2 linked regions of the Astyanax mexicanus genome follow. The protein of the gene in region 1 interacts with the protein of each later gene in a pairwise test. Links are inferred from orthologs where the notes say so. Each region holds a gene or a part of one and is shown on either strand. Other genes may lie near its edges.

The links.
Region 2: the proteins of wdr6 (region 1) and ptpn3 interact in binary tests that used the Homo sapiens proteins (3 or more experiments, as listed by UniProt). The two-hybrid records come from large-scale screens. The link is inferred for Astyanax mexicanus from reciprocal best matches to the Homo sapiens genes WDR6 and PTPN3.

What each region holds. Positions count from the first base shown.
Region 1 is NC_064419.1:49,950,269-49,958,266, forward strand, and holds the start of wdr6 (WD repeat-containing protein 6), read left to right. Parts: upstream 1-4,997; 5' UTR 4,998-5,069; coding exon 5,070-5,070; intron 5,071-5,513; exon of another isoform or gene 5,514-5,646; intron 5,647-7,115; exon of another isoform or gene 7,116-7,289; intron 7,290-7,998. Other genes in the region: fibrinogen silencer-binding protein, read right to left, coding at 1-250, 1,026-1,099, 1,374-1,476, 3,036-3,350. UniProt on the Homo sapiens protein: Together with methyltransferase FTSJ1, methylates the 2'-O-ribose of nucleotides at position 34 of the tRNA anticodon loop of substrate tRNAs. Required for the correct positioning of the substrate tRNA for methylation.
Region 2 is NC_064408.1:109,502,410-109,510,195, forward strand, and holds the start of ptpn3 (tyrosine-protein phosphatase non-receptor type 3), read left to right. Parts: upstream 1-4,774; 5' UTR 4,775-5,022; intron 5,023-7,786.

The DNA of each region.
Region 1 (7,998 bases):
CGTCGAAGCTCAACCCCCTCAGCCCGGAGGAACCCAGGCCCGAGCCGGATCGGGAGTGGGCAGGGTAGAAGAGCGAGGCGCGGTGGGCGGCGGCTCTAGAGGACGAGGTGGAATGTGAGTGGGCGTGGTAGGGGTGTGACGGGGAGGAGGGGGAGGGGCCAGGCGATGTTCCGGACCCGGAGTTCTGTGGGAGTTCGGGGGGCGACGCCAAGCCGACATCGATGGCGACGAGCTCTTTACTTTCCAGCTCCTGTAAAATAAATAAATTAAATAATTAATTAATACATTTAATTTAACATTTTAATTTTACATGATTTGCGCAGAAAATACTGCATTTGCAATTTTCAAAAAAGTTTAGAATTAATGTTTTTAACACGCTATAAAACATTACGGTGAAAAACTAATGTACAATATTTAGTTACAAAACATAAGCAGAAAATATTAAATAAAACAATATTATTTAAAAGAATGACACACGACAACATGATGAAGAGTGATGATAAAAAATAATCAATTAAAATAAATAATGATGGCTATCTGCAAATAATATTGATGACATTCAAAATCTAAATCTGCAGTTTCGCCTGTCACAATAACTTTTATATATCCATATTTTTATTTTAAGACCATTTTAGTGGCCTTAAACATTTAATTATTAAGAATATTTAGACTTTTCAGACTACTTAGAATTGAAATGATGCTCACGAAGCAGAAAAAAGTGACACAATAACTGTGAATAATATATGATAAACATCATTAATATCATTTATATAATTGCCAATTGATTTATGTTAAAATTAATATTCATCAAACTGTTGTTGCTCAAATATGTTAAATACTGAAATCATCTTTAATACATTTAAAATCTTTTTTTCTGAGTATGTTCTGAGCATCAGTATTCTGGGAAATATTTAATTTTACTATATTAAACAGCATATAAACTAAACAGACTCACTAGTTATAAATATGAACAGATGTAACAGAAGCAGTTTTAGTGGTATGGAGTGGAGAACGAACACACTGACATCAAACTGCTGATAATGCATTACATCATTTTGGTCCAGATCCTCTGGCTCGTTCCCATTGGTCCCTCCGATCCCTGGAAAAAAGACAAACAAAACGAAAAAAACGTGATAAACTTATATAAATATATTTTTGCCTTTGCTGATAATTTATGGTGTAACAGATAACCGACAATCAGTGATCTGTCCAAATCTCCCTCCTGCCCCGCCCCTAAACCCATACATCACTCAGTCACCCAGTGACTTCATCGCAACGTCACTTTGTTTTAAGATCGTGTAGCCCTAATAAACACCACAGACAGGATGCACCTGGATATCTGAGGAGGAACAGGTGAGACAGGTGGAGTTTACCTGGCCCCGGGGAGCTGTTTGTGACGACGTAGCTCCCGTCTCCATCCACATCCTCCAGGTTAGTGATCAGGTTCGGCACCAGAGCCATCACTTCTCTCTGCACCTGCAGGAAACGGGGAAAAGAGAGTATTAAGAAATAGGCTTTAAAGAAACTTTAACATTTATTTTATTTATCTACAGTGTCTCATGTATAATATGTATAAAATGCTGTAAAATAACAGTGCCTTCAGACTTTTGGAGAACAAACCAACACCTGTTATCCTTTTTAATTCAGATAGAATTTAGAGAATTTAAGCTAATCTTTATTTATTTTATTAGTTTTAAAGTAATACATGTGTAATATCAGATATCTGCTCAGAATTCCCACAAATCAATTAATCAATAAATCAATTAACCTTTATTTAGTCTCAGATTTAAATTGAAACTAAACTGAAACGGAGAATCACCTCATTTTAAATGTAGCTGAATATTTAATATTGAATGAAGAAAAACTAAAAATTAAAATAAAGTTTATGCGAGCGCTGCACTTATGGTGGTCAGTGTGTATCTGTGTTATAAATCAGGTCAAACTTTTGGAACTGGTCCGAGACCAAAAAGCAAAAAAAGCAAATTAAAGCTCTATCTGGACGGGATGATTTTCTCAGTGTAGCATCTGTGTTAAATATTTCACACTTCTACTCTTTAGTGATTAAAACTCCTGCATCCGGGCTGCAATTGAATAAAAAGGAGGACCAGTGAGTTTTTAGGCTTTAGTTTTTCTCGGTCACATGACATCATCACGGCGTTCAGTAGCTCCTCCATTTCCACTCGCTGTTGTGTTTTTCTTACGTGGATCTCCATGGAAACTATTGCGCGTCCAAAATGTAATTACGGTGCGCGGCAGTGGACAAATATCTATTTTATTAAAAGTGAGGAAACGAAACTCAGAGATGTGCGTCCGGACAGGACTAAAATTACCGGAGGAGCACGGAGTTCAGAGAAAAACAGTAGATAATTCAGCCTGTAATTTTCTCAGAGGACGTCCGAGAAAAACACGTACACTGTAAACCCGTACGTTTGTTTGAACTCAAATGATTTAAGTCTGTTTTACATAAAATTGGATTTTTCTAAACAATACTCAACTATTTTGAGTTACTGTACTATTCAAACTGAGGACTTTGAGTTGAACCAACTTATAATAACTGAGTTTAGTCTGTTTTGCCATCAACAGTTTCTTTTCTATTGGCTTCTTTCACACTCTATTTGCATACTGGGCGTGTCCAACAGTTTCTGACAGACACTCACCATCAGTGTGTAGTGATTCCCCCCCTGGGCTACCTTACAAATAAATCAACTTCCCCTTTAGTTGTAAGACCTTAATGTTTTAATTTATAATAACTCAAAAAAATTGAGAAAATCAGCTGCCTTAAAAAAAAGTTAGGTAAACTCAACTTATCTGGTTCTTACATATATGCTAAATGAAGTTTTTATTACCCATTACTTAACTTTTTAAGTCTCAATTTTTTTAAGTAAATTTAACTTATCCGGGCTTACAGTGTACATGGTTGTTCTGGACAGGAATAAAATCACAGAGGATAAAAACTATCCCAAAACCCCCTGAGAAACTAATTCCATCCAGATAGGGCTTTAGAGATGTATTTAATAAGACGGTAGTGACTGTACCTGTGTGAGGGCGGTGAGCGGCATCCCCGACGCCTGCTGCTCCTGCCGCCTCTGCAGCGCCACCCGGCACTCCACCTTCAGCCTCTTCCACAGGGTTTTGAGGGAGCCCACGCTGCTGGGCGGCCGGTTGGGGAAAGCCTCGTTGAAGGCCTGGGCGAGTTCGGCCCACACAGCGTTCCGGTACACAGTGGTGTTGGTGTCTTTACGGAAGTCCTGCACGGCGTCCACCACGCTGTGGATCTTCTGCAGCAGGTAGAGCTTCTGCTCCAGAGTGAAGTTGGGCATCCTGTACGTCATGGTGGTGAGCATCTTCATTTGCGATGTGTGTGAATATGAGAGTGTGTGTGTGTGTGTGTGTGTGTGAGGAATGCTGTTGGTATAAAGTCAGGAAGGATCACACACAGAGGAATAAGGCTGCTGGTCAGTCGACTCGTTCATGGAGTTCTAACCTGGTATACAGAAGCGTCCATTTACGTCCAAAAGTACAAAATGTTCTATATGCTATAAACGCTACATAACAGAAGTTATGGGGTTATGTATTCATCACAGGTCTGTTGTGAATTTGGTCCCTTCGATAAGCGTTAAGTCACATTTGATGCGACATACTTAAAAAAGAAAAAGAAAAAAAACTACAAAATATATAAACTATATTTTAAGAAAATAACAAAAATATAAGTTTAAGACTCTGTGTGTGTAAGGCTGCTCGGTCAACAACGGCAACATCCACACGGTGGGCCTGCTGTCCGTCGACGCATCCGGGATCTGAGGGGAAAAATAAAGATAAAAATAAATACTTATTAAATATCTTTTGACATAATAAGTAAGTTGTAAGTTTTCTTTATTTTTTTAATTATTATTTTTTTTACCACTGAACAAATTAAATAACCTTAATGAATTTCGCTATCTAAAAACTACAATTAACAATATTTATTGAACAAAAAAAAAAAGAAAATCATAAAATGGGATAAATATTCATTATTCCCCATTTTTGTAAAAGTGAAATAAAAAACTAGAACCCTGGAAAATAACTTTTTTTTTTTCTTCACTAAACCAAATGGAAAAAACACGTGAAGCATATATAGCAGATACATGGTTCATGTAGTCAGTCTCTCTGTAAGTTATAAATGTGTAATATCACTATCTGTTTATATGTGCGTTTTATCAGATACCGGTAGATATGCATATTTTACTGGCTATCAGTAGATATATACATTTTATCGTTTATCGGTAGATAATACACATTTTATCAGATATTGGTATATATATATATATATATATATATATATATATATATATATATATATATATATATATATATATATTTTTTTTTTTTTTTTTTTTTATAGAGATTTTATTGGATATAAAAGTAGACACACATTTTATTGGTTATCAGTAGATATACACATTTTATAGTATGTCGGTAGATATATAAATTTTATCGGATAGCAGTAGATATATACATTTTATCGATTTTGTCATATACTGGTAGATAATACGCATTTTATCAGATATCGGTAGATATGTTACATATTTTATCGGGTTAAACTGTCAAATTCTGTAATAATTGTGAGTATTAGTGGGTAATAACTGAGCGCTGTTAGGAGGAATTCTGCTGCTGTAAGTGATCAGCTCTCTGTTTCTCTACTGTTTTATTAATTTACTGCGGGTTTTTTTCTGTTACTGTGTTAAACTGTGTTTATTTAAAGGTAAAAATACAAAAAACAAGCCTTATATTAGAAGATGCTCCCAGCAGAAGTGTATGTAGGATCGTTAAATAGCTTAAATCACTGTATCACAGTAAAATGAAGGTATAGATAAGATAATACTTTATGAGTCCCACAGTGGCGGAAATTCACAGTATTATATGATATACACATTTTATCGGTTTATCGTGTATTGGTAGATATACACATGTTATCGGTTATCGGCATCGGCTCAGACTTCCTGAATCAGTGCATCCCTACAGAACAGGAGTAAGTTGCAGCAGGAGAGCAGGAGAAAAGCGGGAGTTTGAACAGGATATAACAGTGTTACAGTGAGTAAATCTGCAGTGTATAATGTGTATATTCTGAGGTAAACGCTGAGAGAGTGTTTACAGCTGAAGCCCTCAGCCCGAGACTAGGTTTAATCCCTCTGTCTGCCCGCTGTCTCCCTCCCACACATTGATCTCAGCTCAGATTTATATTAATATCATTATTACACTGTAATAAATATGATATTACACATTAATGCGCTGATTCTGATGCAGTTTCGGGGTTTTAGCGCCTCTAAAAGCCTCAAAACCGCAACTTTAGCCCGTCTGTTTAGCCCGCTTAGCCTGTTAGCCGTTAGCCGCGCTGCTAAACCGCTGCACCGTATTAGCGGGTTAGAGACTAGGATTAGGGCTAACGCTAAGGCTAACATTTCCCCGCGCGCCCAAACACACCGAAAACACCCCACGAGCCCCGCGCTGCAGCCCGCGCGCCCCGGTACACTCACCTGCACGCGGAACGATTGAACTCCGCTATAAATGATACTTTGTTGCTCCCACCCCTTTATGTTTGAGCGGCCCGCACCAAATTCAAACAACAGAGAGCTGCTCTGCGCAGCGGCCGCAATCTGCGTAACCGGGGGAGCGGGGCAGCGGCGCGGTGCGCATGCGCTGCGCAAATCCCCGGATCTACAGATCATACCCGCCTGGGATTCACTAACACTGCGCGGAGCAGATGATCTATAGATCTGCGTCTGAGTGCCGCCGAGACTCCGCTCATAATAATAAACAGCCGGAGAGATATTCCTTTATTCTTATTACTACGCTGTAACACGCTGCTCTCACACCATATATATACACCCGGCAGATAAAACGAATAATAATCTGGATATATTCTTCCTTTTATTCGTTTTTTTAACATTCGTTATTGAATGTAATGTAAAAAAGAACATAATAACCAGAAGTTTAAAGAGAATAGTTTTTTTTTTTATTGAAAGTAACAAATTATGTCCAAAAAATCATTAACATTCCCATTGGATAAACTATAAAAACTTAATTTCTTCAAAAAAGTCAGATACCACATTACAAAATTGCAATTACTAAACCCTTAGAATTGTTCATTTGTATGTTTAATAACCCCCCCCCCCCAAAAAAAAAAAATCTAAAAAGCAATGATGGAATATTTAAGCAAACATATGAAGGAAAGAATGGACGCATTGTGTGTCTATAGATAGACATTTTTCCTTTCTTTCTTTTGTTGTTTATAACTAATTATATGTGTTTTAGAGGCAAGTGTTTTAGAATACATTTTACATTGTATTTCTATATTACATCAATTGAACACATTATATTACACAATCCAATAAAAAAATAAAAACAATGCATTCCCATAGAACTGCAATAAAATAAATATATAAACTAATTGGAGTGCAAAGAAAAATAGAAATAGATTTTAAAACATTTTAAATATTTATTGTGAAATTTGCACATTGACCAAATTGCTGATATTTAAGAATTAAAATTGTATGTGTTAATAGCAGCTAAGAAATATATTTAAAAATGTTTTTATTTAATTATGAAATTGCATATTTAACACAATTGCTGATATTTAAGTATAATATAAATGTTCATAGCAGCTGAAAAATATATTTACACTTTTTATATATTTGAATATTTTATTGTGATTAAAATATATAATATATTTTTGGGTTATGTGATGTAGGTGATATCTTAATTTAAATTTTGCATTTTAAATATTTGTTTACTACGCCACCGCCATAAACATAACCTAAAAGAGAGAAAAGTCTCCAATAACTGATAATTATATATTATACAAAAAAGTATTAGCATGATAAATAACCTACATAATACAAGATAAGAATACATTTCTAAAAAGTTTAGACAAAATATGATTATATGTGTTCTCCAGTCGTGTTAATTTTGAAATTGTGTAATTTGTTAATTTACTTTAAAGAAATGTAACGTAAAAGAAATACTGTAGAAATATAATGTTTAAAAGTCCTCCAGTAGGAGCGCTTTGATCTACAAAGGGGGCGGGACGCTTCAGTATGCTGGGCTGTGATTGGTCAGAGCTTTCGGTTGTGCGGAAGTTACCCGGATAAACACACATGTCTGCCCGCAGTGAGACACGCTGGTGCTGAATATAAAGAGAATTGAGTTAAATTCTGTAATAATTCGGATTATTTAGTTTATATATTTGTGTGTATGGAGTTGTGAGTATTAATAGGTAACAACAGAGCGCTTTTAGGAGGAATTCTGCTGCTGTAAGTGATCAGCTCTCTGTTTCTCTACTGTTTTACTGATTAACTGAGTGGTTTCTGTGTTAAACTGTGTTACTCTGGTGATTATTTAAAGATAAAAACACAATAAACAAGCACTATATTAGAACATGCTCCCTGCAGTAGCGTAGGTAGGATATTTAAATAGCTTACAAATCTGTATCACAGTAAAACTAATGTAATGCAATGTATTTTATCTACCTTAACAGTACAATATATACAATATAATATAAATAATAATAAGTAAAGAAATCTTAAGACTGCATTTACAAACAACTGCACATTGCCTCTTGGTTGCACAGAGTAATGGAACAATATTGTACATTATGTTACACATAGAGGTGATTGGAAACAGTCTTTTATGCTATATTATAGTTTAATAATTTTAATAAAAACACTGAAGCAAATAATGAAAAAAGCTCAGGTTGTTTGATGCACCCAAAAAAAGCCAAATTATCATTAAAAACAGAAAAAACATAAAATGATTAAATAATAAAACATGAAATAATTGGCAGATAAATTGTTAGATTTTTAAAAGTATTTAATTTGTAATTTTTGCAAAAGATTTACACCTAAAATGGGACTTATGTTTCTTCACTCAACGTTTATGAATGAATAATTTCTCTAAAAGTACCAACAACTAACTTTATTGCAAGCAGTTAAATATGCAGAATGTTGATTAGTCAGCATTACC
Region 2 (7,786 bases), on another chromosome or scaffold:
CAGCCCCATTGGCCTCATTGGCCTACATACAGTTGTGGATGGGGGTTTATGTATAATTATCATGCTCTGGCAATACTGCATAGCAACATTCATTAAAAAAAGACTTATATACATATGTTTGTGGGATTTTCTAAAGTCAACTCATTATTGGTATTAAACAACTAAATTCAATTACATTAGTTGTTTTATAGGCAAAAACCCACCCTTTAAGCGTTGGCCTCATATTTAGCTAAATTTAACTGAATTTGCTTTAGCAATTCCACAATCACTTCTGATATGTGTTTGGGGTCACTGTACTGAACATCCAATTTTGTACGCATTTTTAATTTCTGGCTAATTCTTTTGCAGGAAGTCCACCTACATCATTATTCCATCCAGTTTTTGCAATGTACCCGTTTTACTGGCAGAAAAGCAGCCCCAGAACATGATGCACCCACCCCCATGCTTAACAGCTGAAACAGTGCTCCTGCATTTAAATGCCTCACCTTTACTCCAAGTAACAAAACAAGACATATGTTGTCTCACATGAATATTAAACATGTCTCAAGATGTTGATTGTGGAGCAGAGGTTTCCATTTTGGACAGCAGCCGCTTAGTCCACAGTGATGTAAATCCAAACTGAAAGTACACTTTGACATCGTTTTTTACATAGTCTTGCACAGTACAACTAGCAGTGAAATTTAATTTATTTACAAATAGCAACATCAACCAACCTATTACCACAACAACCACACAGTAACACTTAGAAGTTTCCTTGTGCACTTTTCTAGTTATATAGTTTTGTAGTTATATTATTTCAAACTCTGCTTTTTAAAACTATAAAGAACCAGAAAAAAACTTAAATACTGATCATACTAAACACCTAGCAACCACTTGGAACACACTTGATACATCTGACACAACGTCTAATACATTATACAACCTGATGCAATGTCTTAGTTTTTTTACCGCTATAAGTTGTAGAATCATTCTGTCCCAGAAAAAGAACAGAACAAAGAAATCACTAAATGTCCAACATTGTCATGACATTAATGAACATGATGAATGCATATATTTTTCAACTGCTGGCTAAAACTGCTGTTAAAAATTCATATAGAGACAACATAAAATTATTGTGACCATTAATTAATTAGTCATTTGGAATTAATGTTTTGAAGCTCGATTTTTTTGTAGGAGATAAGCAAAGGTGTCAAAAGTATTTACTTTCATTACTCACGTAGAAGTATAGACAGTAGGGTTTAAAAATACTTCTGTATTTTATTCCAGCAAAAGTGTAAAAGTACTGCTTTTAAAACTACTTAAAGTACGAAAGTAAAAGTAATGTAAGCCAAAAAAAAGCCATTAAGGACAAAAGCTTAGGTTGCGCCACAGGAGCCTATAGTGCACTATCCCCCCCTCCCCAAAACACATTTTATAAAAGCCATAATGACCATAATGTTATACTAAAATGTTAATGTTGTTAAATTTGGGATGTCTCCCTGGTTCAGCTGCATATGTACTCATTGAAAATGAATATATTTTAATACAATGCAAATATATTAAAGAAGCTGAGTCTCCGCCACAGATCATCTTCATACTAGACTACATACATTTGCTACGTTCTTGCTGAAATATGAACTGACATGATGTGGAGGTGTGATGGATCGTATACAAACCAATAGGGGGTCAGTATGGTTATGTTTATACTTCTCTACATCCAACCACAATCAGATACACTCTATCTAGATGGAAAGTTTTATCTCAATGAAAACAAGCTGAAATGAAATAGGAGTAACAAGGCTATTTTTTAAAATGTAAGGAGTAGACGTGAAAAAGCCGTCTGAAAAGTAAGGTAACAAAGTATTTGTACTTCATTACTTGACACTTCATTGCTTGTCATTTTGTGGGCAGATAAAAAAAATCACTACCTGGAAGTAAATGATGTGGGGTTGATTCTGCAGTTGGTCAGGTCTAGGTTCAGCAACAGTATCTACTGAAAGAATGAGGTCAGCTGACTACCTGAATATACTGAATATAGACCAGGTTATTCCATCAATGTATTTTTTTCTTCCCTGATGACACGGACATATTCCAAGATGACAATGCCAGGATTCATGGCTCGGAATTGTGGAAGATTGGTTTAGGGAGCATGAGATCATCATTTTCACACATGAATTGTTCACCATAGAGTCCAGACCTTAACCTCATTGAGAATCTTTGGGATGTGCTGGAGAAGGTTTTGTGCAGCGGTCAGACTCTACCATCATCAATGCTGCAAGATCTTGGTTAAAATTGATGCAACACTGGATTAAATAAATCTTGTGACATTGCAGAAGCTTATCAAAACAATACAAACATAAAGGTGATCCAATGAATTATTAGTGTGTGAGCTTTTTTATAAGGTTCTTCCTCCAGAGGGGGCATGACATGTAAAAGTTTAGGAAACACTGATTTAGCATTAGTAGTGCTGCAGTAGCACATCTGACCTACAGAGGCGCTATTAAGCCATGTCTAAACACCACATAAACGTAAACTGGTCAGTTGCACAATGTTATATGTTTAACACAAAAACGTATTTTTAGCTAAAACAAACAAACAAATAACACATAGAAACTATCTATAATACTTGCCCTCAACATTCGTGCTGATGACTGTCTCCTAAGCCATCAAATAAGCCAGTAAAGCTGGGAAAACACATTCCTTGCTGGTAGCTGTTTCAACATAAAGGAAGGACTCGTTTCGCTGGGCTGAGTAACGCAGGTCATGCTGCTGCTGTTGTTGCTGCTGGTCGTGCTTATCTCCAGGAACGCGGGGGTGTATTTTTATTGACTCAAGGGAGGCAGCGCCCTGACTGCTGTGCTCGGGCACGCGCACCTGTGCGCGTCCCCGCGGACACAGTGTACGGACACTCCTCGCTCTGGCTCACCGTTTATTGTAACGAGAAAGCGAGAAAAAAACTGAGAAGGCCTAACCATCCAGTGTGACCTGATTAACATAAAGCTCTAACAAAAAAATAAGAGACCATATCAGTTTCTAAATCAGTTTCTCTGATAGGTATATATTTGAGTAAAATGAACACTGTTGTTTTATTCTATAAAATACTGACAACATTGCTCCCAAATCCCAAAGAAAAATATTGTCATTTACAGGATTTATTAGTAGAAATGAGAAATGGCTGAAATAACAAAAAAAGATGCAAAAAACAAAACAAGTACAAGTTGAATAACCCTGCTTTTTAGTCACAGTTTCATACATTTTGGCATTTACTCCTCCATCAGTCTTACACACTGCTTTTGGATAACTTTATGCCACTCCTGGTGCAAAAATTCAAGCCGTTCAGCTTGGTTTGATGGCTTGTGAGCATCCATCTTCTTCTTGATTTAAATTCCAGAGGTTTTCAATTTGGTAATATTAAAGTGTTTAAGTGATCTCTTATTTTTTTCTAGAGCTGTATGTTGGTATTATTAACAGTAGCAGTCATAAGTTTAGAGACACCTCTTCTCGTTCAATGTCTTTTTTATGATCTTGTACATTGTAAATTTATTACTGAAGGCATTAAACCTATACAGAAACAAAAAACAGAATATATTTTATACTTTAGATTCTACTAAATAGCACATTTAGCTTTGAGAACAGATCTGCATACTCTTGGTATTTTAATCTCAGTGTCTTCATGAGGTAGAGTCACCTGAAATATTTTTTTTTCTTAAAGGAGTTCCTGGAGATGCTAAACAATAGTTACTGCTTTTCCTTCATTTATTAAAATAATGCTACAGCCTGTCATTCAGCCATTGTTTAAACTGGAGTAAGAGAAGCTAGATGTTGGGCCACTGGTCGGTCTCACTCCTACTGGGATCTTACAGAAAGTCTATAGCTTTTTTGTTGTTGTAAAAAGGAGGCTGGCTTTACCTAAAACTCTGATCCTAGAATCGCCCCTGACCCCTGAACTATTGTTCCGGATGGCAACACCTTAGAACTTTCCTTGCACACTTTTCTAGTTATAAAGTTTTCTAGTTCCATTCTTTCGAACTCTGCGGTAAAAATACAAAGAACCAATAATAAAACTTTAAAACTGTTGTGAATTGTATATTTGTATTATGTATGCAAAATAAAAAAGAAAAAGAAAAGAAATACGAATGTGTAATGAATATAAAGCTGGAAATAGCCATTGTTTCTGATTTACAGTGGTGTGTACAACTTTGGGCACCCCTGATATTTTTTTTATGATTTTCCTTATAAATCATTGGTTGTTTGGATCAGCAGTTTTATATAAATATATAATATAGCAGATGAGCATAGTGATATTTGTGTAGTGAAATTAAGTTTATAGGATTTACAGAAAGTGTGCAATAATAATTATTTAAACAAAATGCATAAATTTGGGCACCCTTGTGGTTTTATTGATTTTAATACTTTTAGAACTAATTATTGGAACACAAAATGGAAATGTGGAATTGTTGGGCAAATTATTGGTATAACAAAAAATAAAAAGTTAAATAATCTTTCCTTTCAGTAGTAATAATTTGATGTTTTAATATATGTTAAGTTAATGGTTTATTGCCCATTACGTTACTATTGTTAATATTGTTTTTTTTTTTTTTTTTTTTTTTTTTTTTTAACATATCTGGGCTTACAGTGTAGTAACACTAGTGTTAGCTAGTAGCTGAGTTAGCAGACCGACCGTGGGTCAAAAACTATAATATAATATATACATAGGTAGACCACACCATCACGCGCGTGCACGTTGCTGGTTCAGACTAGTTAGGTACACAGCTGTAAACGCGCGCGCGACTCACCTCACATATCAATGAAGCGAGCGCTGAGCGGGAGCGCGCCTGGTCCGCGGCCACGACGAAGCTGAACTCCCGAACTCCCGAAGGAGCCCGAAGGAGCAGGACCGAAAATAAAGACAACATTTTCCCGGAAGTTTACCGACACCTGCGGCCGCGGAGCTCGGACATGGAGACGCTTCAGCTTTCAACACCTCAGTAACAGCAGGAGAGGAGCAGCCCGACTGACAGAACGGGGGAAACCCAGCCTCAGGTAACTTAGTTAACCCAGCGAGGGGGCTAGTTAACTAGCGTTGCTAGTGGTAACTAACTAGCCTAGCTAACCTAGCCTAGCGATAACTAGCGTTAACTGTTTCAACCGGTCCAAACTGAACTAAACCGAACTAAACAGCCCAGTTCTAGCTTATTTAAGCCAGTTAAGAGACTGAATTATACAACTTTTAACTTTTTAACTACAACCGAGCTCTAATTAAACCGTTAACGTTAAGCGTGTTCTGGTTTAAAGCGCTTTAAAGGGACCAGAGAGTAAATAAATCAGTGTTTAACGTTAGCTAGCTTTAGGTTAGCTCTTACTAACTAAGTTATTATCGTTATCCTAGCCGTGTATTAACTTAGCAGAGCAGGGAAGAGCCCAGCCCTCCTCGGCAACAGCTGTCTGATCCGGAGCGTGTGACAGGCAGCAGCGAAAAGGTGAAAAATATGAAAGATTTGTCAGCTTTTTATCGACTAGCTAATTAACTTTACTAAACTTGAAACCATCAGGCAACGTAAGTGGGAAGTATAACCTTAGTAGCCTGAGCAGTCTGATCAGACTGAAAATGAAACCTACTGCTGCCTCATTTCTCTCTTTCCCATGAGAGTTCTGGCTTGCAGTCTTGCGCTGTATGTGGGAAGCCACAAAATATTTCCCTTTTCACTCCATTAGCTAACTGCAGAGCCCCTAAGCTGACATCATGTTAAAAAAATAATGCGTGGCCATGACTTATTAAGGCATGGGAACGATATCCTTATGCGTAAGAATAAGATAATTAAGCAAGAGACTTATTAAGGCGTGGGAACTAGTTAATTAAGTTGTGTCCAGAGAATAATAAGCTTGCTTTTCTGTAAATTAAAGGAGAAGGTGTAAAATTTACTTGTGGTGTAGTAAAACATGATAGAGTACTGACCATTGTTTAATAGCCCACATCTGCTCTCCCCTCTCCCAGCTTTCCAAGATCCAGTATTTTGTGCTTTTTGCCCAGCACTCTTTACAAGAAGCTTATTAAAACCACCCGGAGATTAGGCTGTGCTAAGAGTTGGAAACAGTGTTTTTAATAAGCTTCTTGTTAATTTTTAAAGTTATAAATGCCTCCTTTTAAGTGTCAGAGCTCTGTGGATTCTACTATTGAGGTGTGGAGTAGGGGTGGGCGATATGGCCCTAAAATAATATCACGATATTTCATGATATTTTCGCGATAACGATACTCTTGGTGATATGACAAAACACTTAAAAATATTATTTTTAAAAATACACTATACACTGCAAGAAAATAAAAAAATATTTTATTATTACATACAATATAATACTGCACACCCCTAAGTGAGATATTAAAAAATACAAGAATTCTATCAGATTTGTAGCAGAAGTCAATGATCCAGAATGTCATGATACTAATAATAATGCACTCCAAATATCTCCATATATCCAGGATTAAAGTAAAATAAATGATACTGGACAGATATAAACTGTCTCTAGTAGATATATAATGGGAAATGGGATGGGTGATATGGCACGAAATTGTAGGGTATAATATCGTTCTCGATATTTAAAAGATTTGACGATATTATCGTGTACGATATGATATGGCACACCCCTAGTGTGGAGCCTGGATAACAGTGTAAAAGTGCTTTATCTGGATGCCCCAAAGCTCCCGTTGTAAAGAGTGCTTTTTGCCATTTCTGGGTCTCAGAAAGCTGCGGGAGAGCAGTGGTGGGCTATTCAGTAAAGGTTAGTAATCTTTATCATGTTTTACTACAACCAAAGTCAATTTTACACCAGAGTTCTCCTTTATTGCCTATGAGTCTCTTGCAGTGAGACAGGGCATAATTCTAAGTAAAGGACTTTTTTAATTCTCATACAAAAAGCTGACGGGCTTAGATGTAGACAGTATGCAGATTAATTTACCTTCCTTAAGCAGTTATATTGTGCACAACCCTTGAGAGCTGCTTGCTTTGTTAGCTGTAAAACAAAAGGAGGCCCCGCCTTAATGGCTATGATTTAATTAACTCATTGCCACACCTTAATAAGTTGTGGCTACACATTAGGATCTCATTCCCACGCCTTAATAAGTCATGGCCATGCATTATTTTTTTAACATGATTTTACCTTAGGGGCTCCATAGCTATAATTCAAATATGTATTCTGGTTATAATTTTAAATAGAGAAAAAAAACTGACATTGCCATATTTTGTTGAGCAGTAATTTGCAGTGATCGGCATCTAATAAAAATAATAGAGCTGTCAACATTAACATGTTAATGCATGCAATTAATCTAAAAAACTTTAACGCGTTAATATTTTGAACTAAATGAGTCATGTGACAAAATTGACAGAGCCTGGTGACGCATTTTATTTAGTGATATAACACAGCAACACTTACTGTTCAGTTAATAAGGTAGATTATATTTTATTTGTGGCGAAGTTTATTCTCTTTCTCTCTCCATCTCTCTCTCTCTGTATTTCTCTCTCACACACACAAACACACACAGCTGATGACAGGTTTCCTCTTTTCAAGCTGTTGAGTATGGAATGTATAATACAGTAAAAAAGGATCTAGTCTGCCAGGTGAATATCACACTACAGCATTGTTTTTGTTCCCGTCCCAAAAATACTGTTCAGTACCAATATGATAAATACAAATATCTTTTAAGGGATTGACACCAATGATACATATGTTTTAAGTGTTTCTACTGCTGTTTATTTTATTCACAATTCAATACACATTATCAAAAGCTTAGTCTTAAGCAAGAAAATGTGAT